Linked DNA regions of Canis lupus familiaris. The protein of the gene in region 1 purifies or fractionates together with the protein of each later gene. This does not show direct contact. Links are inferred from orthologs where the notes say so. Each region holds a gene or a part of one and is shown on either strand. Other genes may lie near its edges. The genes, in order: PPP2R1A, CEP350 and MTCL1.

Evidence for each region.
Region 2: the proteins of PPP2R1A (region 1) and CEP350 purify together in Homo sapiens (affinity purification with mass spectrometry; 4 studies listed by BioGRID and IntAct, with this or other methods). This does not show direct contact. The link is inferred for Canis lupus familiaris from reciprocal best matches to the Homo sapiens genes PPP2R1A and CEP350.
Region 3: the proteins of PPP2R1A (region 1) and MTCL1 purify together in Homo sapiens (co-immunoprecipitation; 3 studies listed by BioGRID and IntAct, with this or other methods). This does not show direct contact. The link is inferred for Canis lupus familiaris from reciprocal best matches to the Homo sapiens genes PPP2R1A and MTCL1.

The regions. Positions count from the first base shown.
Region 1 is NC_049222.1:105,616,339-105,619,984, reverse strand, and holds part of PPP2R1A (serine/threonine-protein phosphatase 2A 65 kDa regulatory subunit A alpha isoform), read left to right. Parts: intron 1-1,138; coding exon 1,139-1,239; intron 1,240-3,646. UniProt on the Homo sapiens protein: The PR65 subunit of protein phosphatase 2A serves as a scaffolding molecule to coordinate the assembly of the catalytic subunit and a variable regulatory B subunit.
Region 2 is NC_049228.1:13,444,834-13,448,479, forward strand, and holds part of CEP350 (centrosome-associated protein 350), read left to right. Parts: coding exon 1-261; intron 262-1,156; coding exon 1,157-1,278; intron 1,279-3,646. UniProt on the Homo sapiens protein: Plays an essential role in centriole growth by stabilizing a procentriolar seed composed of at least, SASS6 and CPAP. Required for anchoring microtubules to the centrosomes and for the integrity of the microtubule network.
Region 3 is NC_049228.1:74,915,677-74,919,422, forward strand, and holds the start of MTCL1 (microtubule cross-linking factor 1), read left to right. Parts: upstream 1-1,331; coding exon 1,332-2,393; intron 2,394-3,746. UniProt on the Homo sapiens protein: Microtubule-associated factor involved in the late phase of epithelial polarization and microtubule dynamics regulation.

The DNA.
Region 1 (3,646 bases):
GACCCAGGCCTGGTGGCCCTGGAGCCATGCTAGCCTGTGTTCTCTGAAGCACTGACTTGGGCCAGGCCCCATGCTGAGCTCCTCATAGAAAACATCACTTCACTTTGGTTTCACACAGCTCTGTTGGGATGTAGGGTGAGAAAACAGACTCACAGGTGAAGTGAATGGCCATACACTCAGCCAAGAGAGAGCAGAGAACCACCCCAAGATGAGGAAGATGATGACAGCCCCAAGAGCTTAGAGGGTGGTGGTGAGGAAGCGACTCAGAGCTTGAACGTGTGAATAGAAGTAGCATTGACCAGAGCATGGTCACTTGGCATTCCAGCTGCAGGGGGGCCTGGGATGCCTGGCTGGGTTGCTGTATGCTTGGCTTAATCTCAGAAAGTTGAAATGCCAGCATAGAGGCCAGGGATGCTAGCGTCTTCTGCCATAGCAGTCAGCAGTTCCTACTGGAAGCATCTTCTGCCATATGGGTCAGCAGTTGAAAAAGGCCTTTGGGTTGAGCATTAGGACTCAGCAGCTCTGTCTTTACATAGTCATCCGTTCTTTTAGCACACCTGGACTGAACTACTGTGCTCATCTCTAGCAGAAACTGGGGTACAGAGAAGAGCCAGTCCTGGACTCCAAATATAAGGACTCTCATAAAGGTGACTTGGGGTTGAGGGGAGTGTAGAGAAAGGATGTGCTCTGGTCTGGTCAGGAAATCTGAACTGAGTCTAGAAGGATGGAGAATTTCTCAGGCTAAAGAGAAAAATTAATTCTTGGCATAGAGGGCAGTGCTGAAGAAAGAAGCTGAACCAAAGCGAAAAGCCCCCATTGACCAGGCTCTGTGCCTATATGCATGGTTTTGTGTGCTCCTCTGTAATTCTCCCTCAGAGAAGTGCGTGCAGGTGCAGAAGTGGGTTTGCAGACTGGTTTCACTCCCCCAGTGTCCCTCACCTAGTGAAGGGCAGAAGGCGGCCTTTGGTGCTCTGTTCCTGACCCAAGTCTGCATCTCCGATCTGTGTACCAGCTCAAGTAGAGGGTGGAGAGACTGAGTGCTTACAGAATGGAGCCTGCTTGCTCCCAGCTTGGGTTACCCAGAATCTTGGGTCAGCTTTGGGGTGGGGCTATAACAGAGTCTGTCTTGGTTCCCCAGATACCATCTACGATGAGGATGAGGTCCTCTTGGCCCTGGCGGAACAGCTGGGAACCTTCACCACGCTGGTGGGAGGCCCCGAGTACGTCCACTGCCTGCTGGTGAGTCTGGGAGGCAGGGAGGTCCCCTTGCCCACCCGTTTGGGGGTCACCTTCAAGGAACAGGCAAGCCTTGGACATTCTCTTTAATCCAGCAGATTAGTAGTGGCATTCATATAGCAATACCAAAGATGTACTTGTTTACCTTCCTGTTAGCTGGGTATGCCTGACCAGTGCCAGGCCCTACCTGGCACTGTACATATAGGGCTCTGGGTGTGGAAGCCATCTGAGTACTACCACTTCTTTGCTGTGTGACTTGTAAGAGTTACTTAACCTCTCTGTTAAACTTTACTCATCCGTAAAATGGGAGTCATTAAAACATCTTTATAATTAATTTAAGCCCCCCCAAAAAATTAATTTAAGCCGTTGGCACATGGCAAGTACCATCAGGTGTTAGCTGCCAGTGTCATTAAGCTGTATGTTTTGAAGTCATGTCCACCCTTTGGGGTAGAGACATTTCTATTTTGTAGATGAGCCACTGGGCATCTGAGAGGTTAAGTGTCTTGGTCAAGGCCTCACAGTCAGTAGCAGAGTTGGGATTCTAGGTGCCTGCCTATGCACCCCTGTGCTTGGTGATGGCTAGGGACACAAAGATGGGTCAGATATTAATAGTAACTGCTATTTGTGAGAAGAGAAAGGAGAATTCCATTGTCACCAGGGAAAGAGTCCAGTCCTGTGATCTGGGAAGGAGAAGCCTCAGGGCTTTCCCAGTCCCCTGGTTTTCATTGTTCCTCAGAGCCCGCGGCCACTGCTACAACCTGCTTCCCTCCCCTCACCCCTGCCCCAATAATTCTGTATGTCATGGTTTCTAAAGATACAGCTTTATATTTGACATCTGCGCTTAATGATGCCTTAACACTTTTCATTAGCAGCCTTCTTCCTCCTTGCATTGTGTGAAATAATGGCACTTCTTAAAATTGGAGGAATTTGGGGTTTGAGCAGATATGGTAACTTTTCTTCCAAGCAGTATTAGGTCTGAAGAAATTGGATAATTGTCATTAAATTCTAGTCTGTCAGCTTTCATCTGTGTGTGCGTGTATAATTGATGTGTATGTATACGTAGACAATTGTATGCAAATGTGATCATTTCCTACATTTTACACAGATTAGGGCTGTTTAACACAAGGAACATGATGAGGTCTGGGGACCAGCCTGAAAAGGGTCCTGTGTGTCCCATGAAACTTTCTGCAAGCCCTAACATTTATCAGTTTTTCTGAGAGAATTTGTGGCTTTCAGCAGCACCTCAAAGGACTTGGGAACAGAAAACGCTGATCCTGTAGCTTTAACAAGGGTCCCTTGGGCCCTCAGGTGGTATAAGACTCAGGCTTGCTGGGGAGCAGGACTGGAACCCTGGAGTCCTTCCCTTACAAGGTCAGGGTCATCCCACACTTACTTTGAGGGAGAGTCACAAGGCCTCTGGGGCTGGTGTTCATGATGTTCACAACAGCTGGCAGACACATCCTGAGGGCCCTGGTCCAGGGAGCACTGGAAACCCAGAGGCCAGGTCCCAGGTCCGAATGCTAGTGCTCCTTGGTACCTGTAGGTACCTTCCACACAGTCACCTGTCATGTCCCTCAGTGACCCTGTGATATACATACTCGTACCAGCCCCAGTTCACAGATGAGGAAACAGGCTCAAGGTCTGGTTTACGAGAATTGACTGAGCTGAGAAGAGACCGTCAGGATTTGAACCCAGTCCCCTGCCTCTTAACCACTGCTGCTCCTTTCTACTACCCTCCCATGGGGCTCTCAGTTGCTCTACAGGCTGATTAGAGCTGGATAAGAGAGAAGCTGGGGGACCTTAGAACCTGGAGGAAGCCCTTCACCTGTTTCAGATGGGATGGGGGAGCTGTCAGTGAAGGCTTCCTGGAGGAGGTGGCAGTGGATCTGGATTTTGACAAAGAGAAATGGAAAATGGCTACTGTGCAGTTTGTTCATTCCACAAACATGAGTACCAGCTATGGGCCTTGGGAACCCAGAGGTGTGTCAGAGCCAATCCCAGCCCTTGTTCTCAGTAGAGGTGAAATGGAGTTAATTTCATAGGGATCCATGTAGCTACAGCACAAGGATTGATTCTGTATCCACAACTTTTAACCCTTTTGGAATTGTGGATCCCTTTGAATATCTGATGAAAACTCTAGAGCCTCTCCTAAAAGTACAGTGATTTTAGGAGGTTCACACCTCCCCCCTCCCCTGTATCTTCTCTGGGTTTGAGAACTCTACCCTCTCTCCTTCATAGAGAGGCCCCCCAGTATAGCTTTTCATTGTGGGAAAGCAGTACTTGAAGTTTCCTAGACCTGCATCTTTCTGGGCCCCACACTGATTTTTTTTATTTGTGCTGAGCCTGGTCTTCTGGGTGATCCTGTTGTGGTCCAGACCTCGCTGTGAGAACCATAGTCTATAGCAACCCA
Region 2 (3,646 bases), on another chromosome or scaffold:
CAGTACATCGTTAGACAGCAGGAGGAAAGGAAGAGGAAGCAAAATGAAGAGAAAAAGGCTCAAAAGGAGGCCACTGAGCAGAAGAACAAACGATTACAGGAGCTCTATCGGAAACAGAAAGAAGCCTTTACTAAAGTAAAAAATGTGCCTCCCTCTGAGCCATCAGTAACTAGGCGACTGCAAGACACTTACTCCAAACTGCTCCTAGAAAAGACCTTGCTCGAAGAGCCGCCACATCACCAAGCTACCCAGGAAACACAGGTAACAGTAGTGTCAGAGATGCAGAGGGAAGTCATTTGTGATTAGAAAAGGCTTATTTGCCATTTCATTACCCTCATTCCTGATGTTCAGACAATATTTGTAATAATGTTGACCTTTTCATGAAATTTATTGTATGTGGAGAATACTTTGATAAACATAATTGAAAACAAGTGCTCAGCATTTCCCAGAATGACTGTTACTGATCTCTGTTCCTCTCATCATTGCTATTGTTATATCCTTGCCTAGTTTTCACTGTATTACTAAGCAAAAAGATTGTTAATAAAAGCCTAGTTTTGTGATCTGTGCTGAAATTAGAGATCCTAATGTTATTGGTAATTTTTTGAGTATTGCTGCTGTTTTTAAAAATAACATTGAGTGTACCACAGACTGTTTTAAAGGCTTTAAATTTTCAATAAATCCACATGGCCTGGGGCAGCCCGGGTGGCTCAGCGGTTTAGCGCTGCCCTCAGTCCAGGGCATGATCCTGGACACCTGGGATTGAGTCCCGCATTGGGCTCCCTGGGTGGAGCCTGCTTCTCCCTCTGCCTGGGTCTCTGCCTCTCTCTCTCTCTCTCTCATAAATTAAAAAAAAAAAAAAAAAAAAAAAGTCCTCATGGCCCTGAGAAGGTAAATGCTACTAGTATTTCTAGGTGAAAAAACTGAGGTTTAGAAGAGTATTATTTCCTTTAGATTATGCAGTTAGTATTAGGTGCCTTTCCTGAATATCAGATGTAATTTTGCTGTTAATTGTAGTGGCTGCGTAAGACAAACTAAATATGAACTGATTTTATTTAAGAGAAAAAGCCCCCACATTTCACTTAATATTTGTCTTATGTACTCCCTGAGTATATGTTTGTGATTGGAGTCACGTAATTTTGATATCCTTTTCTCTTAGACTAAACCCGGGTATCAGCCTTCTGGAGAATCTGACAAAGAAAACAAAGTACAGGAACGTCCCCTAAGTGCATCTTCCAGTAGTGACATGTCTCTGTCAGAGCCTCCACAGCCTCTTGCAAGGTAAGAAGGGGAGAATGAAAGATGATTAAGGTTCTCTTCCCCCCCCCCAAAAAAAAAGGTTCTCTTTTCCCGTGAAATTTACTATAGTGGTTCATGCTTAATGAATTTTGTTGACCTTGTACATGAGCAAGAAGTTTATTTTTTTTTATTTATTTTTTATTGGTGTTCAATTTACCAACATACAGAATAACCCCCAGTGCCCGTCACCCATTCACTCCCACCCCCCACCCTCCTCCCCTTCTACCACCCCTAGTTCGTTTCCCAGAGTTAGCAGTCTTTACGTTCTGTCTCCCTTTCTGATATTTCCCACACATTTCTTCTCCCTTCCCTTATATTCCCTTTCACTATTATTTATATTCCCCAAATGAATGAGAACATATAATGTTTGTCCTTCTCCGACTGACTTACTTCACTGAGCAAGAAGTTTATTTAGAAATTGGTTAATATCTTCTGGTGGATATTTAAGCATGGTGTACATCTATACTTATTGCATACCCTTTTACCTGTCTTTTTATATCCAGTGTAAATGTAAGTCCTTGCAGAGATCCTACAGTTGGAAGCACTGTTACTTTCTCTGAACTAAACACACAATAAAACTTTATTGGTTGAAAATCACAGTGAAATTAATATTTTAAAGTATTTGTGGTGAATAATTTTCAAAAGGTATATCTGTATTACTAATCCGAATTTCTTCATGTGACTCATTCCAGTTTATTATTGTAACTTTGATATTTGGATATGCGTGTGAACGTATGAACAAGGGCTAGATTGCTGATTGGGGACTTTTTTACCTTAAGTTCTGTCCTTTCCTTTCCTTTTCCTTTCCTTTTCCTTTTCCTTTCTTTTTCCTTTCCCTTTCCTTTCCCTTTCGTTTTCCTTTCCTTTTCCTTTCCCTTTCCTTTCCTTTCCTTTCCTTTCCTTTCCTTTCCTTTCCTTTTCCTTTTCCTTTTCCTTTTCCTTTTCCTTTTCCTTTTCCTTTGAGAGAGAGTGGAAGAGAACACAAGTAGGCAGACCAGTAGGCAGAGGGAGCGGGAGAAGCAGGCTGACCACTGAGCAGGGAGCCCAATGTGGGGCTCCTGGGATCACGACCTGAGCTGAAGACAGACACTCAACTGACTGAGCCACCAAAGCACCCCATACTTTTAAGTTTTCTTAAGAAAATCTTTTTCTTGCTGTAATATATTGTTTGCAATGAAGTAAAAGTAAATTATGCATGGAATTTGAGGTGGTTTTGAGATGATATGGTTTTAAATACTTTAACCATTTTAGAAAGAGAAAGATTTTGAAACCCTTCTTTGAGAACACACAAATAAAAAATCACTTCCCAATTATGGGTTAATACACATGGTCCTTTCACCCCATTCTTCCTCCTTCGAAAGAATAGGAATACTGATAAAGTTAGCTAACATTTATTGAGTACTTGTAGTTTCCAGGCACTGATCGAAGTACTTTGCATTTGTATCTTATTTAATTCTTGTAATTTCTTGAGTTAGGTGCTCCAGTCATTCCCATTTTACAGAAAAGACAATTGAGGCCTAGAATTTAACTTTCTCAAATGTCCAAACATTAGTGGTGGAGAGGGATTTGAACTTAAGCAGTCTGATTCCAGAAACCTGTGCTTTTAATCACTCTACACAGTGCCTCCCAATAAGTTTCATATGATTTATTTAAGGTTGTAAATACCTTTCAAATTTCAAGCATAAATAAACTTAAAAAATTTTTTGAACTTGAATACCTTTAGGTAGGTATACTCTGTAGTTCATCTCAGTCCCATTATTATTGTCAGACATACTCTGCTGGCTTCCTGTCTTTCGTTTTACCTTTCCCTGAATTTCCTTCTAATTCTAAATAAATTATCCAGTGTTAAAAACAAACCGAATGTAAGACAGATCTATTATTACTACCTTACACATGTTCCTTTCCTTTTTTTTTTTTTTTTTTTTTACCATCAGGTTTCTGCAACAACTTGTGATATATAATCTGTTGCCTCCACTTCCCCTCTATCCATTTCTTAGGTTCCCCATTTCTGTTAGTAGTTTCAGCATATCTCAGTTACTTTATGCTTGGAAGCATGACATTTCTTTTCCTTGCCCTTCATGACCCCTATTCTTCCTTAGGTACCTGGGAAACTCCAAATTACATATCTGATCTTGAAGACCTTGAAGATCTAGCTCAAAAGCCATTTTCCTTGGCTAGCAGACTTTATTGTTTTCTATCCACACTCTGTTGAACTTTATATATATTATATTAGTATGTATGACATTGTATTTTAATTCTTTTTTTAAATTCTTTATTAGTCTCTTATCCCTGCTAGATCTTGAGAAACTAAAGAGTAAAGAATAAGTTTTAACTGGATTAAATTTTTGTC
Region 3 (3,746 bases), on another chromosome or scaffold:
TTCAACCCTAGCAGCTCGTAATTCCTGCCCGTCCCTTTGCCTCCTGGCAAGGCCAAGCGTGGAGCACGGCTGGGCCTTACTCCTCTGCGTATTCCCCAACACCCGAAGCCTGCACTCGAGGATACCCGAACAGTGCTTCGCAGCGTGCACGGCGTTTCTCACATCTGCCCAGTTAATCCTCCCAACGCTCGGGTGGCCCGCAGTATGTTTAAATTACGCAGGCAACGGGACCGAGGCTTGGAAGGGTCGGGGGCCCGCGCTGGGCCCTCGGGGGCCGCTCCGGGACTCGCACGCGGGGCTCCGCGAGGGGACGGCACGCAGGGCTGGGCGCGCCTCGGGCTCGGGGTGCAGCCGACCCCGCCCCGGCCGGGCTGCAGCCCCCGCCTCACCGCCCCGGCCGCGTCCTCATCCTTCGAGAAGAGAAGACGGCGACTCCAAGTGGGGCGCGTCACGAGGGCTACAGGACACAATGCTCCCCGCCGCAGCCACGGACGCGAGTCCCCTCGCGGACCCCGAGCCCGGCGAGCTGCCGCCCCCGTTTCCGCAGCGGCGCCTCCTTCCCCGAGCTCCGGAGGCCGCGGGGCTGCCCGTCCTGACGTGGCCGCCGCCTCGGGCACCAGCCGACCCCTCACGGAGCGCTGGGCCTGCGGACACGGCGGCGGGAAGGCGGCGGCCCGCGGGGGGCGGTGGCACCTCCCGCGCGCACCCGGGGGGCCGCTCCCGTCTCGCCCGCCCGCTGCACCCCGGCGGCGGCCTCCCCTCCGCGGCCCTGCGCGCCGGCCCCGGAGCCTCGGAGGCCGCGAGGGCGCCCGCGCCAAGGCCCGGGAGCGCAGGCCCCGCCCCACCGCGGCGCCGGCGGCGGGAGGCGGGAGGCGGGAGGCGGGAGGCGGGGCGCGGGGCGCGGGAGGCGGGAGCGGGAGCGGGCGCGGGAGGCGGGGAGCGCGCGTGCAGTTCCTCTCCGCGCGGGCGGGGAGCTGGGCGGCCGTGGGCGGGGAGCGCGCCGCCGGCGGCCGGTGCCGGTGTCTGGGGATGCGAGCGGCGGGGAGCCGCGCCGCTGACCGGGTGAAGGCGAGCGGCGGTGACCTCAGCGAGGGGAGAGCCGGGCGGCGGCGGCGGCGGCGGCGGCGGCGGCCAGCCCCGCGGGGATCCGGGGCGCCGGGGGTGCGCGGGGCACGGCGGCGGCGCGGGAGCGCGGGGCGCAGACCGGGCGGGGCCGGGGGCCGGTGATGAGCGGGGCGCGCGGGGAGGCTGCACGCCGCCGCCGACGCCGCCGCCGCCGCCGCCCCGAGCATCTGCCCGCACAGCTGCCGCCCGCGGCCCGGGACCCGGCCATGGAGACGCTGAACGGCCTCGCGGGCGGGGGCGCCCCGGACGCGAAGCCGCTGCCGCCGGGGCAGCACCACCGCCACCACCACCTCCACCCGCTGGCCGAGCGTCGGCGGCTGCACCGCGCGCCCTCGCCCGCCAGACCCTTCCTCAAGGACCTGCACGGCCGCACCCCCGCGCCCGGCCCGGCCCCGGCCGCCCCCTCCTCGGGTCGAGCCCCGGCGCCCGCCGCCCCGCGCGCGCCCAGCCTCGCGGGCAAAGCACCGCCCTCGCCGGGCACCCCGGCCGCGCCCGGCCGCCTCTCTCGGCGCAGCGGCGGCGCCCCGGGCGCGAAGGACAAGCCGCCGCCGGGCGCCGGGGCCAGGGCAGCGGGCGGCGCCAAGGCCGCCCCGGGCCTCAGGAGGGCGGCGCGCACGGCGCCCGCGGAGCCGCTGCCCCGGGCGGGGAGGCCGCCGCCGCCGCCGCCGCCGCCCCCCGGGACCGAGCCGCCGCCCGCCGCCGCCAAGGGCCGCAGAGCCCGACGCGGCCCCGGCGCGCCCCCCGCCCGGGCCCCCGGGCCCCCGGGCCCCGCCGCCGCGATCCCCGCCGTGATCCTCGCCGTGACCTCCTCGGCCGGCCCCCCGGCTCCCGGGTCGCGCATCAGCCACACCGACAGCAGCTCCGACCTCTCCGACTGCCCCTCCGAGCCCCTGTCCGACGAGCAGCGCCTGCCCCCCGCCGCCAGTAGCGACGCCGAGTCCGGCACCGGCTCCAGCGACCGGGAACCGCCGCGGGGAGCCCCCACGACGAACCCCGCGGCGCCGCCCGAGCCCCCCGCGCTCCTCGCCGCGCCCCCCGCCCCCGGCGCCTGCCTCGGGGGTCGCAGCAGCCCGGCCGCGGGCCCCGCGGGGGCCCCGGGATCGGCTGTGGCCGAGGATGCCGGGGGGCGCGCGCCGCTCGAGCCAACGGGCCCCGGGACCCCCAAGGATCCCGGCCCGGGCGAGCAGACGCGGCTGGTGCCGGCGGCGGTGGAGGAGGAGCTGCTGCGGGAGATGGAGGAGCTGCGCTCCGAGAACGACTATCTCAAGGTGAGCGGCAGCGGCCCCGCCGCGGGTGTCCGGAGGCGACCCCCGAGGCCTGGGCGCCGGCGGGGACCCGCGAGCCCGGCCTGCCCGGCCCCGGCGCGACGCGCACGCTCTCCCCCGTCTGCCCTTCACTCTCCCGCCCCCGCGCACATGGGCTTCGGGAACTTAGAGCTAAAACTTCTGGAAGGAGCAGCGAGACCTGTGGGTCTGGCCAGGTTCTCCCCCCACTTGGCTTCTCTTGTTTCTGGAGTCTTGCTGCTGCCTGCTGACGCCTTTGCCCCTGTAGACGTGCTGGGGGAGAGGGTCACAGCTGACACCCCCACCCCCTCGCCTCTGGGGTCGGGCCGCCCCTAGCCGAGGAGCTCTGGTCCGGGCCTAGTGCAGGTGTGTGCAGTTCGCAGCCTGCTCTGGCGAGGCGGCGGATGTGCCAGATGCTTTTCCTGCGGTTAAAGAAGTGAGGCCCCCTCTGCTTCTCTAGCTGGGGCGGGGGAGGGGGAGCTCCCTGTTTTTGGCGATAAAACTTAAGTTCAGGGCTCCCATGAGTGTGTGTCCCGGGTTGAGGGGCAAGGGGTTGGCTGGTTGTCCAGCCAGTCGCCAGTCCTTTGTGGGCGACCATAAAAGCCCGTTTTTCGTGTCAGAAGAGGCCACTTGATTGCCCCTGCACGCCAGCACTTTCGAGGGAATTGCAACCTCTGCTGCCTTTGTCTGAGTCTTTTTCATGAGGTCTTGCTATTAAGGGCCTCTTGGTCTTGTTAGCTTTGGGGCACTCAATCCTACTTCCATTTACTCCTCCCAGGAGGAGGGCAGCTTGGGCCTGCCTGCAGAACAGAGGACTTAGTGTTGGGGTCTCGACAATTTGAAGTGACTCGAGACAAAATAAGGGGGATTGGTTTGGGGGCAATTACTTTATTATAGTCTTCAAGTTAGTAAATAACTGCAGCGGTACAAATCTTTTCATGCTTCTGTTAAGACTCTAATATGGATCTCCTCCTAAACCAGTGGATGGCGCTCCTCTATCTGGGTTATCTGATTCGTACTTTTTCTAAGCAAATGTTGGACCTACCCAAATGAGGCCCAGTTTTTGGCCAGCGGGACCAAGGGCATGGGCTTTTAAGGTGGTTAAGTGTGCCGTTCAAGCTGACATTAGAATAGGCTCGCTGCTGAGTTTTCTAAACCGAAATCTTGAATCAGGAGCTGTTCTCCCCAACTGACAGCCCAGTAGCTGTTTTGCCTGCAAAGAGGTAGCAGTGAGGCAGAGGAGAGGTGAGAACATAGTAGGAGTTTGGAGTAAGATGTTTCAAGTATTACATTTGCCTGTGTCACCCACTCTTGTGTAATAGACACCAGAGTGATTTT